Lepisosteus oculatus: one gene and its partners. The protein of the gene in region 1 purifies or fractionates together with the protein of each later gene. This does not show direct contact. Links are inferred from orthologs where the notes say so. Each region holds a gene or a part of one and is shown on either strand. Other genes may lie near its edges.

Region 1 (7,846 bases):
TCAGGATCTGAGAAAGCGTAAAACAGGCCAAGGTACAAAATCGAGTGGCTAAAGCAGTAGTTGGAAAAGCGGGGTCGAGGTCCAGGGGAGAAGTCACAGTACGGCAAAGGCGTAGTTAGAAGGTAAGCTCCGGGAGAGAATCTCTATCGTGAGCAATGACCGGGGGACAGATGAGGGTTTAAGTAGAGGACTGATTGACGCGTGCACGTTTGGTATGGGGAGAGCTCGTGGGAATGTGGGAGCGCTTGCCTGCCTGAGGGAAATTCGTGACAGAACCAACAGAATCAATCTGGACTCATAGAAAAACAAGAATGCCACCGAGACACCTGCACCCCCTCCTGGACCACTCTGGTATCAACACCCCCAAACCCATCCATACCAGCTAACAAGACTCAGAATCGGTGCAACCCTCCAACCTGGACAAAGAGCAGGATGGGACGAGAACCTGCACCACACTACATACACAAGTTTGTATTTTTTGGCTGAAGATGAAAATGTCTAAAATAGATTGTTTTGGTTCTAGCAAACAATAATAATAGTTGTTAAAATCCAAACACACATAATGAGATCACTCTCTGTCAGTATGTGTAACATTCTGGGTCTGGGCTCCTCTGTATTTGGGCTAAAGAGAGTTCAACAACATTATTAGTGCACTGACATCATAATCTGACAAGAGACATTGTTTAGGGGAGATTTGACGACCCACTGTCCCCCTGGTATCGTGAAGCTCATTGTCCTTTAGCTTACCAAAACCAGAATGTAAAAACTTGGTTTCAGCAGTGCGGCTGTTGTATTTGAAATGCTACTGAGCCATGAAGAAGACCCACCTATCCCAGTGTGTTACCTGTAGTGTTATCTTAAAAAATCATAAAAAATAAATAAATAAAGGGGCCACAGCCACAGTAAGGTTGTATAAGGTTAGGTCTGGTGTGTAAAACAGTTGGTTTCAGCAGTGTGTCTGTTGTACTTGAAATGCTATTGAGTCATGAAGAAGACCCACCTATCCCAGTGTATTACCTGTTGTCACGATCGCTAACCCCTCCTCTTAAGGGTACTCTAGCCCTGCCTTGTTCCCTTCCCTTGTCTGCACCTGTTCCCTATTCCCACTCCCCCTTAAAAGCCAGACTCGGACCTCACTCCTGGTTCCTCATTGATTTCTGCATCATGAGAGCTCGGGGTCCTGCTGCGTCTGGCACCGTTATGGTTTTAATCTTCTGTTCCCGATTCCCCTTCCTTCACCAGTCCCGACCCGGTTCATGTTTTAACTCCGTGGATGGATCCCCTGGCCTTGGTCTCTACCCTTTGTCTCGGATTAATCTTTTGGATTTCGCCTTGTTTGTTCGCCCCGGATTCACTCCCCCCTGGACACCAGCACTGCATGGACATGACCCACCGTCTCCAGACCCTCTCCCGCATGACTTTTTCCCTAGTGTATCTTCACTATTCTGGATCGCGTCGTATGCATAGGGCCCGGAAGGAACTGCTACGTGACACCTGTAGTGTTATCTTCAAAAAATAAAGGTTCCAAAACCCAAAACAAAGCTGGGAAAAGTCAGAGGACCTGCTTAGTGTGCAAAACACTTACTTGCAGCATTGTGGGTGCTGTGGTTTAAATGCTATTGGTTTGTGAACAGAATACCCCTATCCCAGTGCATTGTGCCACATTCAATAAAAGCAGGAGAAAAAGAGATTCAGAACACAAAGCTGTGTCAGTGTTCTGTGTAAAAAGTCGGTTTGAACGTCATGGGAGCTGTTTTTAATAAGCTGCCGAGTAAAGAATATTTTAATCTTCCTGCTACCAGTAGTATTGTGAATATAGTTGACCCTTACCTGAATGAAAACAGGACGTAAGGGAAGGGTTTCAGAAACCAAACAAAGCTTTATTCCAGTGCTTACAGTCTGAGTAATTGGAGACTGCGCTATTCTGTTGCCTATGGTCATATACGGGTTTTTCGCACGAAGCCGTATTGAACAGTATTTCTCGCGTTGTGAACTTGTGTATACAGCGGTCCCCCGTGTTCCAGTGTGTAATAACGCATTGATGAAAAACGATAAAAAAGATAATTAGCTCACTGATAGTTTGATGTAGAGGCTGTGGAAATATCCACAAGTCGTGGTCTTTAAAATGCATTTGGTTTGAAGGCGTTCTGTGCTTCCATTGCGAAGATATGGACAAAAGAATATAAGTGCTTGGTCAAAACAAATGTCATAAAAATGAAAAAGTGAAGGCTGAGAAAGCATTCACAATGTATTCAAGAACTTCAAGCTAACTACCCCGGTGTAAAGTGTAGACTAAAACAACTTTTATGAAGAGGACCTATATGTTCCACAAAGAAACAAGATCTAATATTTTAAAACCGAAGAAAATAATACACAGGCTTACTTACACCCATTTCTAAAAACACATCCCGGTTACGATTTACAAATTATTTTAGAAGCATATATCCATTATATTAAACTAGCAGTAGAAAATTGCTTTTTATTGCGCATTATTTTGCATGAAATGCATTAGAAATCGCGTTGCTAATTATATGATTTTTAATACCTGAAACAAGTATTCGTACCCTATAAAATACCATTTTACTAAAGCTAATCATGCTGCATGATTTCACAATTAACAGTTTGAGTAATTTACTAAATATTAACATTGTGACTTCAAAAGAATAGAAAAATGCATGCACAGTATTATTTTTCTGAATATTAACGATGTTAAATTTGTCTTATTTATAAAGGACTGAAAGCAAAGAAAACTCAAGATCTTCTTTTTGAAAGACATTAAATCTTACCTCGTAAAACGTCATATCAGCCTTTACTTTCATTTGCACAGTATGCACAGTGCATTCAGCCATTCCACTTCGTCATTTGTTTTCCAGGAAACGTTTCTCTGTACTTTGGATTTAAATTTTACCAAAGGTCCCTCTCGCGTCAAGGAGTGGTATTGTTCTTATTACGGATTACTAAAGGTCTATAGCTGGCTGTTGTCTCACGTTTGGTGAAACTGATTAAACATCTGACTACTCTCTTGCATTTTTAAAGCGGCTGTATTGTGTGGTCAGAATTTACAAGAACCGTTTTTTACATTTTTTTTTCTGTATAGACTGTATAGAACCGACATTCTCGCTGCATGTATTTAAACAGATAACTTCGATTTGAAGTGTACAAACGACCGTAACTTTATTTAATGTTAGTGAAAAGACTTTCATAAGCACATACTATATGTACACACATAGAACATACAAAAAGTACATGAACCTTTACTCTGATTCGTTAAAAAAACGTATCTATACATTGTTAATGTTTTTTGTATTAATGTGATAAACACATGGAGCTTGATTTTATTTTGTTACAACATCGTTGACTTCACTCGAACTTTTAATACCATAATGAGCACTTCACTTATTTCTGCAAACTACTGAGATCACCTGAGACCCTGTAAGCAGGGATGGCAGTGATATTTGGGGTAGTCACTTAATCTTCAACAAATCTTTGAAGATCAAAGACACAAGTTTAGAGAGGTTTAGCATACAAGTATACTGTATATAAAGTAATACCATAGTGAATACATTTTATTTGCTTAGAAGACACTCTTATCCACTTAAAGCTGGTGATGCACTTCATCCACAACAAAGCACACACTAGAATGATAGCCATGATGCAGTTGCAGCCCTACAATACAGCAGATCCAAGAAAGAAGCAATAAATTGCTTCACCAGTTAAACTGAGGGGAAACTTCATGTTGGCAAGATTTATTAAGCCAAGAGTGAAATTTAACCAATACAGTTTAAAACCATTATAGTAGTTCAGGTGGGTAGCTGCGTCATTTCATTGTAGGTTTCATTTCACACCTTTCTTCACACCTATCCTGACTTCACACTACCTGACTGGCCACTCTTTCTATCCCCCGCTCCCACCTCCAGCCCTTCCTCTGAGCTTTTGTTCTCCTATGCTTACTGATCTGTCTGTCTCACACCTGAAGAAGGCTCCATGGCCGATAATTTGTGTTTTCTTTCTTCCATTTTCAGCATGGAATAAACCTATTATTTGTTCCTTAAAACCATTATGTTTAGATGCTGGTTCAGAAGAAAAAGTGCCTCTGGTCCATCAAGAAACTTTTACAACAGCAACCTTAAAACGTCCATTCCAGTATTTATTAGCTCCAACATTCCTTAGCATCATTACAAAAGAGATATGTCCATTTGTTATTGCAGTAATATTTCTGTCACATGAAGAAATATGTGGTGATGTGAAAATACAGTAGAAATGTTAAGTTCTGTAATATGGCATCCAAACAATCCATTGAAAAAATGTTTTCTGTCTGTACATTTTTAGAAAACAAATATGCATAATAAGGTTTTACTTTTTTCTAGCTAAAAATATACATGGGATTTTGACAACCGCTGCAGAGGATTACTGTCAATTGACAAGAGATATCATCATCTATGGTGCTGGAGGAGACATGAACTTTCATTATCTGGTTGACCTGGCAACTTCTCTGACTTCCAATGGTACTTTGCTTCTGGGTTATGTGTGAATCTTAACCTTGTCTACAGAGTCAACACCTATAAAGCTGTTTTTAATATATCACTTTATTAACCCTTAACAATTTCTTGCATTAGGAATGATCTTTTCGCATACCCCAGCTTGCTCTCCATGAGACACACAGACACACAGATAGGGAAAGAGCCTGGGGTCAGAGCGCAGGGTCTGCCATTGTACGGCGCCCCTGGAGCAGTTGTGGTAAGATTCAATGATAGTCTTGATATTAACTTTTCCAATTGCTTAGTATGCATTTGAAAATTGCAATTCAAAATGTACAGTACTAATTTTACACAATTTATTTTGCTCAAGACACATACATACTTAACACAAATAAAAATAAATTATGATTTTCTTGTAACATTATCTATGATTAAAAATGAATTTTCAGATTGTTGGAGGCTTTAAAGGAAATAAGGATTAAGAACTGATTAATGCATCTTAAAAAGCACACTGCTGCCCATGTGAATACAATAGTGACAGACAAATTTACAGTTTTGGAGACAATGTCCAAAACGCTTTTCAAAAAGTATCATTTAGCTTTGTATGGATATACAGAGAGGAATGATTGTTTAAGATGAGAAACACCTAACAAGGAATCAATGAGATTGTACTGGTAAATGTGATGGATTAGCTACTGTAACACATCATATGGGCTGTTTATAACCTATCTTGAGTGCATGTAATCATAACATTGCCAGATAAGAAGCTTGTTTTATTCTCCCCAAAACCTGAATTCCAGTTCCTTTTTGCACATTTACAGTATTTCTTCTTACACCATCCATTTAATTCAACCGGTTAAACAACTGCTCACTTCTTCACCAAAGTGTATTGGGGGAGCTGTGCATGAACAACATGTTTATTGCCTATATGTAAAGTGCTTTGGGATTGCAGGGAATGAAAAGAGTTATACAAAAGTATCATCAGTTATTACTACTACTACTACTATCATTACTACTACCTTTAAACATTGGACAAGGTTAAGGACAAATCCAGCCACAGTCCGTAATTCATGACTATAAGGTACAATTTGCAAAGGACACCATTGAGAGGATATCTATATAGGATCCATCTATTTTCTATTTTCTATTCGCTTTATCATGTACCTGGTCATGGGGGAGCCACGGACTATCCTGGAATGCAACGGGTGCAAGGCAGGATATGCCCTAGATGGGACACCAGTCTATTTCAGGGCACATACAGACAGAAACATACACCCACTCACACCAGGGCCAGTTTTCCCAGAAACCCACCAGTATGTCTTTGGAGTGTGGGAGTGTTACAGTATGTCCCGGTGTGGTCCATGTTTTTTTGTTTTGATGCCATCTTCCACAGTTCCTGATTTTGGTTGTTCTCCTTCCCCATTGGTCCGTTAATTTATCCACTTTGCCATCATACGTAATCAGCTTCTCAACCTATCAGAACTCAGCATATTTAGTATTTAACTTGTAGGTTTTCAGAACGAAGGGGCCTTTCGCTTGACTTCAGTTCTGCTCAGCTCAGCTTTGTTTTGCTATGGCTTTGTTTCTCTCCATTTTAGTTCATTCTGCTTCGTGTGTGTTTCCGTATAGCTTCGGCTTTGTTGGTTTGTGTTAGTTTCCATGTACCTTTGTTTGTTTGTATTATCTTTACTTCGCCATTACCTTGCCCAAACATATTATATCAACCTCTGTGTTCTTTTGTACCCTATTCCTAGTCTACTCTCATTTTCCCTTGTTTGTATTCGTAGTTCACTTGTGTATTTGTGTGAACTTTTGTGTAAAGGGTTAGTTTAGGTTTACGGGTACATTCTGCACATGTAGTTGGTCTGCGTATTAGAAACACTAGTTTAGGATGGGTGAGTGCCTTTTGTCTTGTATGGTTTTGGGTAGTTAGTAAAGATTAGCCAGGGCGTTAGAAGATGCCTAATACCGAGTGTTTCGGGTTTGTTTTGGTAGATAGGTCAGCTTTCCCTCACTTTATTAGACAGCTCTTTTTTGTTTGTTATTTTCTTTTCTTTGGCACCGCTCTAGTTGCCTTTCCCTGTCTGTTTTTGTGTCCTTATACGTACCAGTCACTTATTCACATTAAAACAAATCCCTTTTGCACCAAACCTGTTGTCACGCTTCCTAAGTCCCTCACGAGAAACCCCCCTGCATCCAAACCCATCCTAAATGTTACACCCCTTTACCCCTAGACACTTGGAGTTGTAACAGGGAGGAAACTGGAGCACCCAGAAGAAACCCACGTGAACACGGAAAGAATATACAAACTATGTACACATGCCTAGAATTCAACCCAGAGCTCCAGCATTGTGCGGCAGCAATATTAATCACTGCGCCACCGTGCTGCCCCAGGAGGATATTTATGAAAATTATTATTTTTATGAAGAAATTAAATGTGATGTTTACTGTGCTTAAAAAACAATAAAATCTGATCTATGTCAATTTATTTATTTATTGTAATTTAAGAGTCAATTTTAATGTCAGAAACAGTCTTGGAAAATACAAATACAAAAGACAATCCTGCTCACACACACGGAATCTCCTACTCCCTCACTTGAAATTTGGAGCCTCCTGCTTCTTCACTCGAAATCTGGAACTCCAGCTCCTCAGCTGTCACAAACTCCACAAAGGGTATGGGTTATTTCCCTTGAATCCTTGAACTTCTACTGTAAGTCCACTTCCAACTGCTGACGTTACCACCTGACCACCAGGCTGGGTTCACACACACAACACTCATCTAAGGCTCCAGTGCTTCAGTCACACACTGAGACTCAATACTGTCATGAACACCACACTACCTCTCTGATCTCGTGGTCACACTCTCATGTCCCATGTCATGTCCCTGTGCAGCTCGCAACTGCCGGAACACATTTTCTTCGAGCCCAGCCATAACTGTCTTTACTCTTTTTTTCGAACACTCTTGTCACTCCTTCCAGTGCATCTCCCTTGCCCCGTCTTATACCACTCAATACCAATACCCTAGTCCTGGGGTTCTTCACCTGGGGGTCATGACCCCGTATTCCCAGGGGGGTCGCTCAGTAGGTAACAGAGACAGAATCAACCAAAACAGGTGGTAAACAGGACACATACACAGATTCAGGGTGGTTACACCTGCATGGTTAACACTACAGTATTTACATTAGCAGGGTGACTTAGTGGTCACTCTGCGAGCCCAAAGATCATTCCCCGGCTACAACTCCCAGCCTGCTCTGTGGTGCGTCCGGCGAGGGTGCTACATTAATTCCTATTGGATGGGCCATGACTGCATTTATATTTGTAGCACTTTTTTTCTTCGCACAAGGTAGTCGTGATTAGTCTAGCAATGG
Region 2 (7,640 bases), on another chromosome or scaffold:
TGTACAGTGTTAGAGGAGAACCCCATGTGTTTTGTAAGAGGTCTTTGTGGATCTTACCCTGGCTGGTTTCTGAGAGGTTGCTCTGTCACTGTTGCCTGTGTTGTCCCCTCTGGGAGTGTTCTGTAACATGCCTGTGTTCTACACAGCTGTCCCTGACCACGCCACCAAGCTGCAACGCCTGTCACAGATACACATCAAACAGCAGGTATGAGCTCCTTGCCGCTAACTCTATCTCTCTCTTGCTGTCTATCAATCTGGGCTCTGATTTCTTTCTCTGTAATAAAGTGGTTCAACAGCAGGTAATCCTCTTTCTTAGGAAAGTGGAAAGAATAGGCTCACATTACCCCTATGAAGAAAGTATTTAAAGTTTTTTGTATTTAACTTAGATACAGTGTGTCTTCATTCACGAACTATCATGATTGCTTTTCAAAGGCAAAATGAACTATTTCTCACTCAATTCCTTTTCAGTGATAGTCTAACCTTCACAGGGCAATTAACCAGATAAAATTGCTTACATATCTAATACTTCTTGTAAGACAGCAAGATGAATTTATTCATTTTCAAGGGTAAGGTGAAATAAAGCCAATGACAAATTTGTGTAAAAATATTGGGGTGGCCAATCGATAAAGGCTTGAAGATTAAATGTATTTTTCTCTGTGTATTCATGCACACGCATTTATTCTATACAGTATCCTCCAGATGTGTTAACACACAATGATAACGGAACAGCAACACCATATGCAGTAAGAGCATAAATTATAGATTGTCTTGCTTAAAATACTTCTGAAAATGATATGGTGTAATTATAATAGAATTGAATAGAGCAAAGTCATACCATACTGGTCATAAATAATTGATCCCAGAAAACACAAGGGTCACATTGCTTTGCATCAATAAGCGTTAATTGAAATAAAATTCAACAAAGCCAAATCCATAGTAACATTATGCTCTTTGCAGCGAAAGCCTCCAGAATTTAGTAGTAGCTGCAGCGGCATCATGGTTAAGGTCAGAGATCCCTTTGAATGCTGCATAGAAACAGTTATCGCCCATTTTGTCAGTATAAAGTCAGTACTTTCATCACTTTCCACTGTAGTGTCAATTATTAAAAAAATTTAAGTGTACTCATAGCCTTAAGGGCAGCAGTCCTGCCAGGAAAAGGAAACACTTGCTACTGTAGATTGTAAATGGTTTAGGTGTTTAACAGTGTGGGTTTTGTGGCTGCCTTTTCTCTGGTCTCTGGTCGATACCTCTAGCCAAGAGAGCCGACGTGTACACTAAGTGGCGTTCTTGTAGCCTTCAAGCAAAGATAAAAGTGTACGAATTTCGACATGATGGTTGAGATCTCCATAAGAGAGTGGAAACGGACGTCCGCAGTCTGGCGACTGGTGCCGTGGCTCTGATGCAAACACAGGGAGATTGTGTGCGAATGTTATATAGGGTTTCTAATGAAGACCCAGGTGGTGCTGATATACATTCTCACGCTGAACTAATGAGAGAGGGGCTGGCTAGAGGGCCCTCTAGTGGTGTACAGTGGGCAATAATAATCTGAGTGAATTTTACTGTCTTTTGGAATTAAAGTAATATTAAAATTACTGTTTTCAACATTCCTACTACAAAATTAAATCCCTTCTCTTTGGTAATCCTGGAATATCATTTGTTTTACCTCAAAACCTCAGTCGTTTTTTTCTTCTCCGCAGGACCAGTGTGAAACTCTATCTGAGGAAGTGAAGAAGCAGTTTGAAGATTACAACAAGATGGTATCCTTCTGACACTACTGCTGCTAGTCCTACTACTTTATGTCTCAAATTGTCATCACATGGAAAATGTGTATCAACAGTGTGGTGCGCATTTTGTATTAACATCTGCAAGTCAGCCAGATGTGAAGCAGACTAAGCCAACTTTCAGTTTCTGTTAATTGACGAATGGGAAACAAGAATAGGAAAACAGTGAATTTCTTTGGATAATACAAATCGCCAGTACATTCCAGTTGTGTTGTAATAATTCATAACACATCAGTTATGTGGTTAACCTTAATGATAAGTGTAGTAAGTGTAAGGCATTTTAAACGATTTATCGTAGATCATTGATATAAAGGAAGAACAGTGTTCTTGTTACAGACCATTGTGGCACTCAACTAGTTCCATCCTCCCACTGTATTTACCCTTTTATCTGATGCTCTTTTTTATATCCATTTTCCAGTTTTAAATCCAGACATATATAATCTTAAATACCCGGAATTTTAGGATTAGTCTTTTATGACGAACTGTATCAGTAGCCTACTGAAAATCTTAATATACCAGATTGTGTGCTCTGGATTTTTTACTGTTGTTGCTTGTTCAGAGAACTAACTAATTAAGCAGGCTATTCTAAATCCATGCTGACTGCCAACTAGAATCCCATTTCCATTTAGATGTTCCAGTTGTCATTTCCATAGCCCTACATATAATATAACTAAGACATACTGGTCCACAGTTATGCTCCTTGACTTCATGCCAGATGTTCCTGCTGTCTAAACAATTTTCTCAATGGGACGAGATGTTGAGGCAGCTTGAAAATGCCAGTCAGGTCAAGCCAGTAGTGGAGTGAAGTCCTTGGCCTGGAAGATGCCAGACACACCCTGACTTCAGAGGAGAGATGGATCGCCAATGGAATCTCTTACCTGTTTCACCACATGCCTCAGATCACCCTTCTCCCTCCCTTCCTGTAACTCAGAAGTCCCAGAAACCCCTCTTCCCTACACAGTGTATCCAAGATGGATTGACTTAAAGAACCCTTTGACATTATAGACATTGCAGCTGCAGTGTTTAAACAAACATACAATATCCAACTTGGAACGCACTGGTAGTACCAAATACTTTAAGGTTATAACTTCCATCCCATTTATCCTACTGGCACAAAGTGAATATCACGCTACTTACGATATAAGGTGTAGGTTGTTTTTGCAGAGCCTATCCAAATGTTATGTTTCCCATGGTCTCCATGGGGCATAGAGAGGGTTTGTGGACCAGGTGATTTTCATGGAGGGCTCATGAAGTAATCGCATTGTCTGCCACCAAAACCTCCAACTTCTGCTCTGGACCTTCAGTGCTTGTTAGTCCTTATCAACACTTTACAGTCACATAGGAGCTTACTTTCTTCCATGTTCTGTAATGTTACAGTTTTGAAATATTAAAATGAAAAAAGGGTCTCTACAAGAAATGAGAGATACCTGTGTTTATAAAAAGAACACAATAAACTTAAATTATTAAACTACACATGCCGTTTTTGTTTTCTTTCACTATCTAAAGAGATGAGTAATTGGTATTCTCATTTATGCCACACACAGTTAATTATCCTAATTTAATAAGAGTTTCCTAATTTGTCAAAATATAAAAAAGTTAAAGACAAATTGGTTAATCTTACTCATTTGGTAAATAGTAATAGTAAGGTTATTGACTTCTCATTTGTGAAGCATCCCACATCAGTTTCCACATGGTTGGGAAGCTTGTTCTAAAGCCCTAGAATATTTGTGTGTAAAAAGGCACTTTCTGTTTTCAATAGAAAATGTTTCCATTTCCACTTGTGTACTCCAGTCAGTCTTCCATAACTGGTGTACCTCCAAAATTATTATATAGTAATATTGAAATTGTATTTTGATGAAGGTGTAAATGTATGAAGATAATTGGTTATCAAATGTTTCTTGTTTGTCATGTTTATTGTTGAGTAAGACTCATAAAAGAGCCTAATTTAATTTAAAAAGGTGCTGTCTTTTGGATGAGACGTAAAACCGATGTCCTGACCTCTGTGGTCATTAAAAATCCCAGTGCGCTTCTCAAAAAGAGTAAGAGTGTTACCCTGCTTACCCTGGCATCCTGGCCAAATTTCTCATTGACCTTTACCAATCATGTCCTCCTAATAATCCCCATCAATGAATTTGCTTCATCACTTTGTTCACCTCCCCACTGATAGCTGATGTGTGATGGGTGGACTGGTGCACTGTGGCTGCCATCACATTATGCAGGTGGATTGGTGGTGGTGGAGGGGAGTCCCTACCTGTAAAGCGCTTTGAGTGGAGTGGCCAGAAGAGTGCTAAACAAATGTAAGGATTTTTTTAATGCTTTTGTATTGAAATGCAACCAATATGACCTTAGCAGAAAAGAAAAAAAGTTCATTGTGGAGGTGTATGATGCAATGCCATCCTCACACGAATCAGTTCCTTAGTAGTTGATTAAATATTAAGAGCAGTTTAAACAGAAATAAGGGTAAGGAAGTTGAAAGCCTTAACTCCTATAATGCAGATGAGGGACACACTACCCATGAAGTGTGGTGTTTGGAAACTCGAGATTGAGTAGTCGAAAGAAGCAAACAGACCATTTAAATTAGCGCTGAAAATTTAGAGTTTAGCAGACGGGAAGAGCAGCAGGCACAGTATTCACAAGAACTGAGTAACCACTTAGTAGTAAACGCCCGAACACCAACACCTGCGCCGCGACGGAAAGGGGTGCGAACTACAATTCCCAGCAGCAACGTTGGTATTTTCCAACGCTTTACAGCAGCTGTTACTGCTTGACGCTTAACAAAGTATTTTTCGGCAATGGTGATGAGCCTTACTGTAGTGTGCTGTTCGAATTAAATGACAGTAAAAAAAGTACTATTTTTTGTGTTTTTTTTAACTACAGCGAGGATCCCTGCCTGTGTGAGTATAAATCTACATCTCCAGTACAATAAGTCCAAAGTGTGATTTGATTGCTGTACTTTTTACGCGCTTTAAGTGCTTCAATAATCTTGTTCCGAACATCAGACTGGGCTGCAGGCTATTGTATCAGTAGTGAGGGATAGATCTGTAATTTATAGCTGAACAATTAGTTACAGAAAAGTGTTGCGACCTTAGGGTCGTGCTGCGTTATTTTATATCAGCACAACACACGACTAAATAAGTTATGAAATGAAATGCTCCGCATATCTCTGTTGCCCTCTAGGTGACGCCCACTGCAGTCACTTAATTTTGTTTTATTAAAAAATATATTGTACGGATGCCAGTTGTCCACAAAGGGGATCTGTATTTTGTGCACTTCTAGTTTCACACTTACCGCGTGACTGTTGCGGACATGGAAAAAAAGAAATGCACTTACCGAATAAACGCTCCACTCCTTTATGTCATGTTAAACGCTTTATCCAAACACTTAATTCATTCACTATTAATATTATTGTTATAGTCCGATATGCACGTCAACTCAATAATAAATGTGTTTACTCTTAATAAATATACACACCTATCGTGTACATAGCATCACTTGAATGTTATATTGCTTTAATCAAACGAGGTGATACACATACTGTTTTTTGACACTGCTGTATCTTTTAAATACCTTGACCAAAATAGATACAAATTTGAGTTAAAAGTAATAACTAAGAGTGAAACACGAAAAAGGGTGTTCAGTTATTGAATTGCAACTTAACAGTGCTTTTAGTCAAGAGTGTAGATCTGTGAAATAAGAGTTGTTGATATGACCGTCATGATGAAAATAACTTCTTTAACAAATTTTGCAATGAGTGCCAAAAACGTTGTCTGTACTATTTGGTCTTTATGTAATGGCACTACTGGTAAAAATAGGAGTGTTACCCTAGTGTCCTGGTTAAATTTCACTCGGGAGTTGCACTATCTGGTCTGTTTAAATGTCCTCCTTAATTGGCTACATTTACTCTGCTCTCCTCCCCACTGATAGCTGATGTGTGGTGAGCGTTCTGGCGCACTATGGCTGCCGTCGCATCATCCAGGTGGATGCTGCACATTGGTGGTGGTGGAGGGGAGTCCCCATTACCTGTAAAGCGCTTTGAGTGGAGTGTCCAGAAAAGCGCTATATAAGTGTAAGCAATTATTATTATTATTATTATTTCAGATAGTGAAGTAATGGCTGCCACACTTCACCCAGGTTGGGCTGCATTCAGTTGCGGTTGAAGTTGGTCCACACCTATATTTACTGCTGTTTGGGTTCTTCTGGATGATTAAAAACGCAGACATTTCTAATTCTTCACTAGCCTTTAAATATCTAAGCTACTATCTAAATTCTGTTTTGCTATTAAGTTAGGTTTTAAACATGGGAAATTTTGCTTTATATTTAACTGTTACGCTGCACGTGTTTCAGCTTTGCTCTAGCACAGACGACAGTGGAAGTTTAAAGATCAAGGAAGGGAGAAAAGCAAATGGGTCAGAAACAACACTCCCAACTTTCACAGAGTTTTTACTGCCGTTTTTGATCCTTCCCTAAACTTTTCACATATGTCCTGCGTACAATTTAGTGTCTTCAGTAGCTTTATTCCATATTAATAGAGAAAATTAATTTGTTACAACAAGGATGAATTTCGGAAAAGGAGGATCAGATGTTCTAATTGGGAACATAAGCATGCAAGACCTTCCTGAAAGCAAGAAACAGTGATGGTCTCCAATAATAGATCATTGTGAATATAATTGTGCTGAAAAGGAAAGGCACTGACAGCCCTGCTCCTTTATTGTCTGTGCAGTTGTGAGGCCGCCCAGGCATGGAGAATTACCGCAAAGCGAAGACGATGGAGCAGCCCTGCCCCTGTCCCTTCCCTGGGCTGCCCGCCGGCACACCTGAGATGAAGGTCAAGGATGGCAGCAAGATCCGCAACCTGATGGGCTTCGCGGTGGGGCGCATGGAGAGCGAGGCCACGCGGCACATTGTGTTCACCGGCTCGGGCAAGAGCGTGGCCAAGACCATCACCTGTGTGGAAATCCTGAAGCGGCGCGTGCGCGGGCTGCACCAGGTCACGCGGCTGCTCTACAGCCGCACGCAGGAGCTGTGGGAGCCGCTGGAACCGGCAGCGGGCCTGGACGGCCTCACCGTGCACAAGAACGTTCCCGCCGTCTGGGTCCTGCTCTCCAAAGACCCCCTGGACGCGACCCAGGCAGGGTACCAGCCGCCCGGCTGCTTTGACACCCTGTGGGCCCAGGCCGCAAGAGAGGAGGGGGCTGCGCAGGAGCCGCGCAGGAAGAGAGGCGGGGGCAGCGGCAGAGGGAAAGGGGGTCGACCCTCCTCGGGAGCTCGGGGGCGGCGCAGCGAGGTGTCGGGGAAAGCGCCAAGTTGGAGGGGCACTCACCACGAATGAGGGCATCCGGACAACTATCCTGAAGACGCCAAGTTCCTAGCCAAAGAGGTTCATGGGAGGAAATCTTCACCAGTTCCTCTAGAGGAAGGATATGTCGATAGCGAGGACAAAGATCAGCAGGAACTTGAATTAGTGGGCATCTGAACTTCGAAGGAAATATTACATGTTTTGTTTGAGAAGCAGAAGATCTGTCTCTGTGTACCTTAGATCTTCATGGACTACTTTCCCATTTACAAGTTTAAATGGACGAGTTAAAAGTGTAGACGGATGAAATTTGTCTTCTGCCTTATTTTTATATGTTGAACAGAGAAGAAGGAATTTATAAGAATGTTTTAAGTTAATTCAAGTGATGCAATAAATTATATAAATACAAACTCAGGTGAACACTTATTTTTTCACTGGATTAAAAGAAGAATTATGAAAAACTTCTGAGTATTTTATTAGCAGAGATATTTCCAATAAAACATATTAATGTTGTAACTTGTCACATGGATGCATCAATGCAATTAATAAAGTTTTCAGGGAAATTA
Region 3 (7,991 bases), on another chromosome or scaffold:
GAAGGTCAAACTTTGCATTTAAAAATCAACAAAGCAAAAAAAAAAATCAGTAGCAAAAGCGACACTTACTCGCTGATATTTTGTACACGAGGTATACCAAGATCTTCAATCCGTAAGATTCTGATGGAGAAAATGCTGTGGCTTTAAAGACAAAAACAATTGGAAGAGTTCAGTCCCTTATAAGAGTGTTCCAAAAACAACATTTCCATTATTACCATTAATTGGCTGATTTCATCTAAAGAAATACTTATTTAGATCCATTTCCATGGCTAGTATTTACTCCAACTGCACCCTTCTTAAAAGATAAAAGCAGTGTCCCACCAAGCATCTGAACCCACAAGTTTCGGTTACGAGTCCAGAATCAAATACTAGTGAAGATTCCCAAAACTGTGTATAATTTTTCCATTAGCAAACACTCTACATAACAGAATGTGGAAGGAAATAATGCAATGTCCCAAACCCCCCCCCCAAAAAAAACAAGCAGTTAGAATTACGTTTTTTTTAAATAGCATTACCTTCTGCTGGACAGATGATTCAGCTTTGTGCAGGAAAAGCTCTGGTGTTTCTTCCCCAATTTTAGAACTTTATATGCCTCATCTGCATCACTCACCTGAACCCACTTGAGATCTAAAAACGTAGAAAGACTCAGGTCTTTAAGATGTCAGTTCATAAATCCTATCACATATACACCTTAAAGAGTTCTTGTCCAACATCCCCACCAGTACAGTGAAGCCCAAAGAAAAAGAAAACAGAAATACCTTTTACAAAAGGATTCCCTTTCACATCTTGTGAGAGCCGAAGAGTACTTCTCTTCATGGAATTATTTGGGATCGTTTCAAGCAAGTCATAAATGTTTTCATTATAGATTTCACAAAAAGACACCCAGACCGAGTATTTGGAGTGACTGTTCATATCCAAAGTGAAGCTTTCTGAATCCAATTCTTCTGTGTTGTTCACAGCAGTGCCTGTGAAAAAACAGAATACAAACCCAAGAGGAAAAAACGATTTCAACAACAAATGCAAGTGTCGAGTTGATTGGCAAATATTCCACATAGCTAGCTTCTTCAAGAAGTAGTATTGGGCAAAACCCTTGTTTGACTTATATATATATATTAAAAAAATCCTTTAATAGGCCTTAAAAGTTTGAACGTGAATACATACCTTCAAATATGGCTGACTTGCTGGTCGAATTCAATTGAGAAATCATGCTTTTCTGTAAATCACACTGCATAGATAAATTTAGATAAGTAACAGTATGAAGCACAGGGAATACGAAAAGGTAGTAATTTCGAAAGATTACCTCTTTTGCTAATCGCAGAATGGTCTTTTTGTTTGCGATTTCCTTCGTGAGTTGCTCTTTGTTCAGCCTCATGTATTCTCTGCATCTCTGTGGTTTAATGTCCATTTCTGTATAGATTTTATCTTGAATGTTGTTGAATATCATATTCAAAGATCTTGGCAGAAGGCCACTATTGTTTTCGGGCCCTGTAAAACCAAAAATCTTATTATTAGTTACTAAGCTACATTTGCAACCATGGATGGTTTGTAATAACAGAAATAGCACAAAAGAACGTAGAAAATCACACCTAAAAAGGTGAAGGTCTTTCCAGCATTGGTTACTCCATAAGTAAAAACAAGGGAGTTTCCCCCTTGAAGAAAGTCTTTAACTAAAGACTTGACTGTGCCATCAAAAACCTCCTTCTGTGTTGCTTCTGGACCATAAACCTGAAGAAAGTGAACATAGAAAAAACAATGAGCATGACAGTATAACAAATAATCATGAAACATTAATTTCTGGTCACATCCCTTACATCTAGATGAGAATGTTTCATGGGATAATGTGCTAGATCTGGGTTCGACAACTCACCTGTGAAAACTGAAACCGCTGGGCTGTTTGAGGAAGTGACTTATCACTGAGCCGAGATGATAAAGAGCTCCTTGGGGCCTTGAGGAACACCTTATCTGGATTCTCAATGCTAACGCACTCCTGCACGTTTAAAGAAAGAAGAGAAGAGAAATTAAATCTAGAATTACAAGATTTGACACGTTACAGACGGTTACTGCTCACATTGCGAGACCCTCATGTTAAGAACTGGACACCCTTCGCTCTGCCTTTTTACCGCTTACCTGTGATTCGTCGCTGTCCATTTCAGCTTGTGTGAAAGGTCTGATACGAAGGTAAACCTGCAAGTGTTCTCTCTCCTGTAAGCTGGACTCCTGGAAGGCATATATGCACATTTTAAGAACGGTGCTTAACGCACCAGTGGAACTTCCTGAGTGGAGGACACTCTGAGCTTTCAGAGATCCTCAAAAGGCATACAACCTCAACTACAAATGAATGCCAAAACATACACAATCAAGAGGTATAAACAAGTAATCGAATGCATTGGAAACCAAAATTTTAAAATAAAGGGCAGTTACCAGCAAAAAACAAACAGCTTACACATCACCAAAGGAAGCTTATTATGCTATGAAATATATGGCACTATATTTAAATGTAGAAATTTGGAACAATCATGTCCTCCCATTTCTGTAAAAATGTAATATACTACTTTTGATTGCAAATCTGTTTAGAAAAAGGCTACGTTACAGGGCTAACTTGTCTGTTACCCCTACGCTGGGGCACAGGGCTGTTTAGCTAACGTGACAATTACCGATTAACCATGCTTAGCATGTGATAGAGATGCATCATATAACACCTTCTTAAACTTTAGGTCAACAGCAATTTAAAATGAATTAAATCAGTTCTTTTAAAAGCAGCTTACCTCAGAAGTAACAGAAGACATGGACAAAAACTCTCCAGAAAGATCTTTTTTCAAATCCTCTATACTCACAGCTTCTATTTTTTCCAATCTGTCATTAAAGCAGGATTCCATCATGCTATAAAAATATGCAGTGCAAAAAACAGACATTAGTTTCAAAATTAGACAAAATTATAAGGTTGCAAAATAGTGGAGACTCTCTCTCTTTTCGTATTTGGCAACTCGGTGAATGTGAAATTTTACCTAACCGATGGAGCCCAAGGTTTCGGTTTCAAATATATGGCTGGGATGCCCAAGAGTGATATCCACAACATTTTGTGTAATGCCAACACAATTACTATTTTCCATCCTAAAACAATTCCTTTTTTCGTTTCCAATTATGACCCCACGTTCCCGTTATCAAAACAGGGTATTGGGTCATAATATTTAATAACATTTATCTGAAGTACTCCCTTGGACTAACTTTTAGGGCTACATATGAATTAACCAATCTCTATTCTAGCATTGAGAAATTGTATTCCTTTAACCTCTCTGCATATGACAATTCCCTGTGAACAGGAATTATTCTCACAGGTGTGCTTTGAACTCGAGGTCAAGAATCTTTCTTTGGTATGCTGACTAAACTAAACAATATTCTAAATCAGGTATTAAGAAGGCTCCGTAAAGTTGGACATAACTTCAATATTTAAATTCTACAATTTGTTAAATACTCATAAATTCTGCGCACTTTTATTTCTACAATGCTTGATATTTTGGATATTGATATTTCTCCAAGTCTTGATAACAAAGACAAATCTGTATTAACATACACATTCTTTCATGTGTAGCCTCCTGCAGATCTACAGTAAATCTATGCAAAATACTCATTGATTATTATTATTAGTGAAAATAAATAATCTAATATTTTCCCCAAATGTTTACACTTGTTTCTTATAGCTTTTTAAAGTTTTATATTAATTATCTCTCTGTGATTGCATTACACGTTTCTGCTTCACCTGTAACTCAGAATAATGTTATTAATTTTGGACCTGTTTAGGCAGACAGTAGAGAAATTTACTGCTCATAGGAAGGAAGTGTTCTCCTATTTTCTCCATTAGATGTCAGATTTTCCGAGTCCCAGACTCTGGTTTACAGATTAATATACTTTTTTTTCCTATCCACGCCCTTAAATCAAACACAAGGAGTACAGTAAATCTAAACTTGGCAAATATCCCACCCATCTAACTAGGACCTAGTTTTCGTGGAATTGAATGACCGATACATCTTTAACTATTAAAGAATTTATTAATCAAGCAGGAAAACACCCATCAGACAAAATGACACTTGACAATCAGCCAAACAAGCAGCTCACATGATAAACAATACCAATAAATTGCATCTCCCCAGAAACACCTATACACCGCAATCTCCTAAACCACTTTTACATTTAAAAAAACTTGAAACTAAAACGTAATTGCGTTGTATAAACCCTATTGGTTTTTTAGGGGTTAGAACTAAACTACTTCGGATTACCTCACGTTGTTATTACTTGGAACGGAAAAAAATAAGTGCAAACAATTTAAAAAGTCGCAAATCATAGCAACAACCATTTATGCACAAACATGAATACTTTCTGAAATACAACCAGAAATATCACCAAACTTACACAGACAATGATTTTTTTTTTCCCCCCCCGAAACCTTTTATCCAAACCACAGCACTCCGTTCTTCATAAATGATCGCGGTTCTTATTTTTAAAATCAACCAATCAGGCGTCACTAGCGAAGAGGGTCATGGGAAAGGAAGCGGAACTGGAAAGACGAAATTGTTTTTCTTTTTTTTCCAATGGGAATTTGTATGGCTATGAAATACAGCTTTATAAATCATGCGTATTCGAAAAAAACCTCCAGTAAAGTCCCCAATATGATTAACTGGAGATGCAACATTTATGTTAAATTCAATTATACTGTGTTTAACAGTGTTTAGATAACAAATAATACATATGAGCGTAAAAACAATCTCTTAACTCTTACAAAACAACGAGAACTGTACACACAGCATATTCAGAAATACACTAAATGTTTATCTAATTTCTTTAAGATGGACGGTATATTACTTAGCCTTTACTACATTTCCCATGCAGCACCGGTGCGGACAATCACTTTAACCCTTGACATGAGCTCTGTGTGTCTCACGTGGAACCAACATGGCTGTTTTTGCAGATTTAAACATAAACTACACTGATGATAAAAAACAGCTTCGGGATATTATAGAAACTGCAGCACATCGTAAGTATTGTTTTCAAAGAAAAAGTTATAGATAACGAGTAACTCCCAAAAAGTACATGGTGAGAGCACATGTTTGATTTACAGATACAGACAGTTGGATGCATACATCGTCAAAGTGAGGCTTTTTTACTTAAGTCAAAATTACAACTGTACTTCGCTTTGTATTTATAAAGCTTATTTACAGTGAGCTGTTTGCTTATTCTAATTTTCTCTCCTAAAACGTGCTAATTTTAACAGTCCCTATATTAAAGCTGGGACACTTCTTGCTATTATCCGAATTTAAAACTAGGCTCAAACCCTTTCCCATCTTTTTTTTTTATTTCTGTCTTTTCAGTTGGTTATTCCACGGTGGCAATAAATCATCTGATTGATTTACAACCAAAGAAGCAGGTAACAATCGGGGTACATTGTATGTCAATCATACACCATCAAAATATTTGCTAAATGTATGCCATTGCTGAAATCATGTTTGGTTTGCAGGAAATAAGGAAACCTGCTTCTGTTGATGAACTGTTCAGACAACTCCCTGTTGTACAGGTACTGTAACGATGTTGTTGTGGTGCTTTTCTGCATTTATTAAACTGGCATAAGCGTGCTGTCATTCTGTGTACTTGAACTGAGATGGCTAAATATGATGTCAGTAAAGTCAGCTCTTTTGTAGTACAACTTTGTGTTTTACTTTGTGGAGCTTTTGAGCCTGACAAGGCTGAGCTGGATGATGGGTTTGGTTCAGAATCTGGAGCACAGTAGACACTTAACATTGACTTGTCTACATCTGATGGCCTGGGACACCTGTGGGGTAACAGCTAAACAGCTTATAAACGTCACTGAATAGAGTTCTCAAGCCAGAGTTCTTCATCTTTCCAGTTTTAGTCATGGGTATTTTGCCAATTTCAAATATATAAATGCTGCTCCTTCGTTAAAATAGTAGCGCAGCACATTTGCACTACTAATTTCTCTCCAAGACAGACTGAAGAGTTTATAAACTAAATGTATGCTTCTTTTCTTCCTAGGGGAAATCCAGGCCAATTAAGGTGTTGAACAGGTTAACACTCGGAGTTTCTGATGCATCTCACTTTGTAAGTACAACATTTTTGCTGTGGAATGTGTTATAAATGACAGTGCATTTATAATATTATGTGATCTTATTTTTTTTTCCTTCTTTTCCTAGAGGCCTTCTGCAGATTTGAAGTATTATGACCTTGTGGCTGTGGTCCCTAAAACAGAGAAGCTGTTTCATGTATGTAGGAATTTAGCTCTTTTGTTGCTTCTAAATCACAAAAAGAAAAGGAGAAGAATACTAAATAAGTAGTACTGCTTTCAAATTATTCTTAACACGATGTTTTACTAATAATATTAAAATAGATAGGTATCCATTTTCTAAAGTCAATTGTAAACATATTCTTGATTAGAGTGTCGGTCTGGAATGTCCAGAGTTAAAAGTATTGTATTTACTGCAGCAATTTGCCACTTGATATTATTTTTTTGCTGATATGTGGATATGGTTTTTAGGATACTACAAATGTTGACAGATATAATAACACCCCTCTTTGCATCATTTGGATTTTGGTAGCCTGACAGCCATTGTCAGAAATGTACCTACTCGTGATATTCGTGTGTTAACAGGCAGCCTGCATGACATTTGATGTTGACATAATCTGTATCACTGTCACGGAAAAGCAGCCTTTCTTTTTCAAAAGACCTCCCGTAAATGGTGTAAGTACATTATACCGTACCTTGTCAATTTAGATAATTGCAGAATTTTTGTTTTCAAATCTGTGTGTGCCTGATTAATTAAAAACATTCCAACTTTGGATTATCTCTATTTTGAATACATTGATACTGTATATTGGATAAAAAATAATTTGGCTAGGAGTCAATTGGAAGTACTAGTTGGAAAAGGCAAGATGGGAGAAAATGACAAAATTTCAAGTTTTTTAAATTTAAGCATTTTTAAATATTTCAGTTATTAATTCAATGGATTCTGGACTAGGGTATTTGTCAATATAGCACATGCAAATTACAGCCTTACGTTTGGTTAAAATATGTTTTTGCTTTCCAGGCAATAGACAGGGGAGTGTTCTTTGAGATCACTTACACCCCCGCTATTAAAGACTCTACCATGAGAAGATATACAATCTCAAATGCACTCAGCCTGATGCAGACTTGCAAAGGAAAGGTATTTATTTCAGGGAGCATTGAAATATGTCAAAATGCTGTGTCTTTGTGAGCACAAATTTTAAAATATGCATGTTTGCCTAACAAAGACAAGTGGTGACAAGCTAATTGCTTTACTTTTTACTTTTTTTTTGGTTGCAGAATGTCATAATATCCAGTGGAGCAGAAAAGGTATTTTCTATAATTCATTTCTCTTCCTATTACAATTTCAGGAACTACTGGCATTTTTAACTCAAATGCTATAAAATACTGTTAAATGCACATTCCGTCACACATTGACATTTATAGATAGACACTTTATTTGCCTTTGGCTTCTCCCACAGAAGTACAAACACAAGCAAAACATAAGAATCACATAAAGTCACATGAAATCACAAACAACAATATGTAATACATAAATAGTTGAATAAATAAATAGGTAGAGGGGGGGATACATTTACATACCTTCATTGATATAACAGAGGGGACAAAGGACTTCTTATAAATGATTTTATGTGATTTTGGTCCCCTGTGGCGTCTCCCTGATGGGAGGATTATGAGCTGAGAAAGGAGTGGGTGTGTGGAATCAGCTGTGACTTTCCTTGCCGTTCTGAGAACTGCGTTATGACGTAATTCGTTGAGCTGGGGCGGCTGTTTCCCAATTATTTTTCCTGCCATTTTCACAATTCTGGACAGTTTGGTTTTGCTTTTCAGCCCCAGGTTTCCATACCAGTCTGTTATGTTAAATGCCAGGCCGCTCTTGACAAGGCTTTTATAATGCCATCTCTAGGAGATTTTGACTAAC

The links. The genes of interacting proteins can lie anywhere in the genome.
Region 2: the proteins of nepro (region 1) and rpp25l purify together in Homo sapiens (affinity purification with mass spectrometry; 3 studies listed by BioGRID and IntAct, with this or other methods). This does not show direct contact. The link is inferred for Lepisosteus oculatus from reciprocal best matches to the Homo sapiens genes RMP64 and RPP25L.
Region 3: the proteins of nepro (region 1) and rpp30 purify together in Homo sapiens (affinity purification with mass spectrometry; 3 studies listed by BioGRID and IntAct, counting the BioPlex papers as one, with this or other methods). This does not show direct contact. The link is inferred for Lepisosteus oculatus from reciprocal best matches to the Homo sapiens genes RMP64 and RPP30.

The regions. Positions count from the first base shown.
Region 1 is NC_090708.1:33,935,110-33,942,955, reverse strand, and holds the start of nepro (nucleolus and neural progenitor protein), read right to left. Parts: upstream 3,069-7,846; 5' UTR 2,787-3,068; intron 1-2,786. UniProt on the Homo sapiens protein: May play a role in cortex development as part of the Notch signaling pathway. Downstream of Notch may repress the expression of proneural genes and inhibit neuronal differentiation thereby maintaining neural progenitors.
Region 2 is NC_090705.1:20,166,671-20,174,310, reverse strand, and holds the start of rpp25l (ribonuclease P protein subunit p25-like protein), read left to right. Parts: upstream 1-4,545; 5' UTR 4,546-4,675; intron 4,676-6,501; 5' UTR 6,502-6,519; coding exon 6,520-7,110; 3' UTR 7,111-7,640. Other genes in the region: dctn3 (dynactin subunit 3), read left to right, coding at 147-205, 1,698-1,757, 2,497-2,586. UniProt on the Homo sapiens protein: May be a component of ribonuclease P or MRP.
Region 3 is NC_090699.1:21,222,222-21,230,212, reverse strand, and holds the start of rpp30 (ribonuclease P protein subunit p30), read left to right. Parts: upstream 1-4,896; 5' UTR 4,897-4,947; coding exon 4,948-5,029; intron 5,030-5,363; coding exon 5,364-5,419; intron 5,420-5,509; coding exon 5,510-5,566; intron 5,567-6,042; coding exon 6,043-6,108; intron 6,109-6,200; coding exon 6,201-6,269; intron 6,270-6,655; coding exon 6,656-6,745; intron 6,746-7,091; coding exon 7,092-7,208; intron 7,209-7,348; coding exon 7,349-7,378; intron 7,379-7,991. Other genes in the region: kif20bb (kinesin-like protein KIF20B), read right to left, coding at 70-141, 516-627, 759-965, 1,162-1,225, 1,301-1,485, 1,587-1,725, 1,868-1,987, 2,128-2,217 and 1 more. UniProt on the Homo sapiens protein: Component of ribonuclease P, a ribonucleoprotein complex that generates mature tRNA molecules by cleaving their 5'-ends. Also a component of the MRP ribonuclease complex, which cleaves pre-rRNA sequences.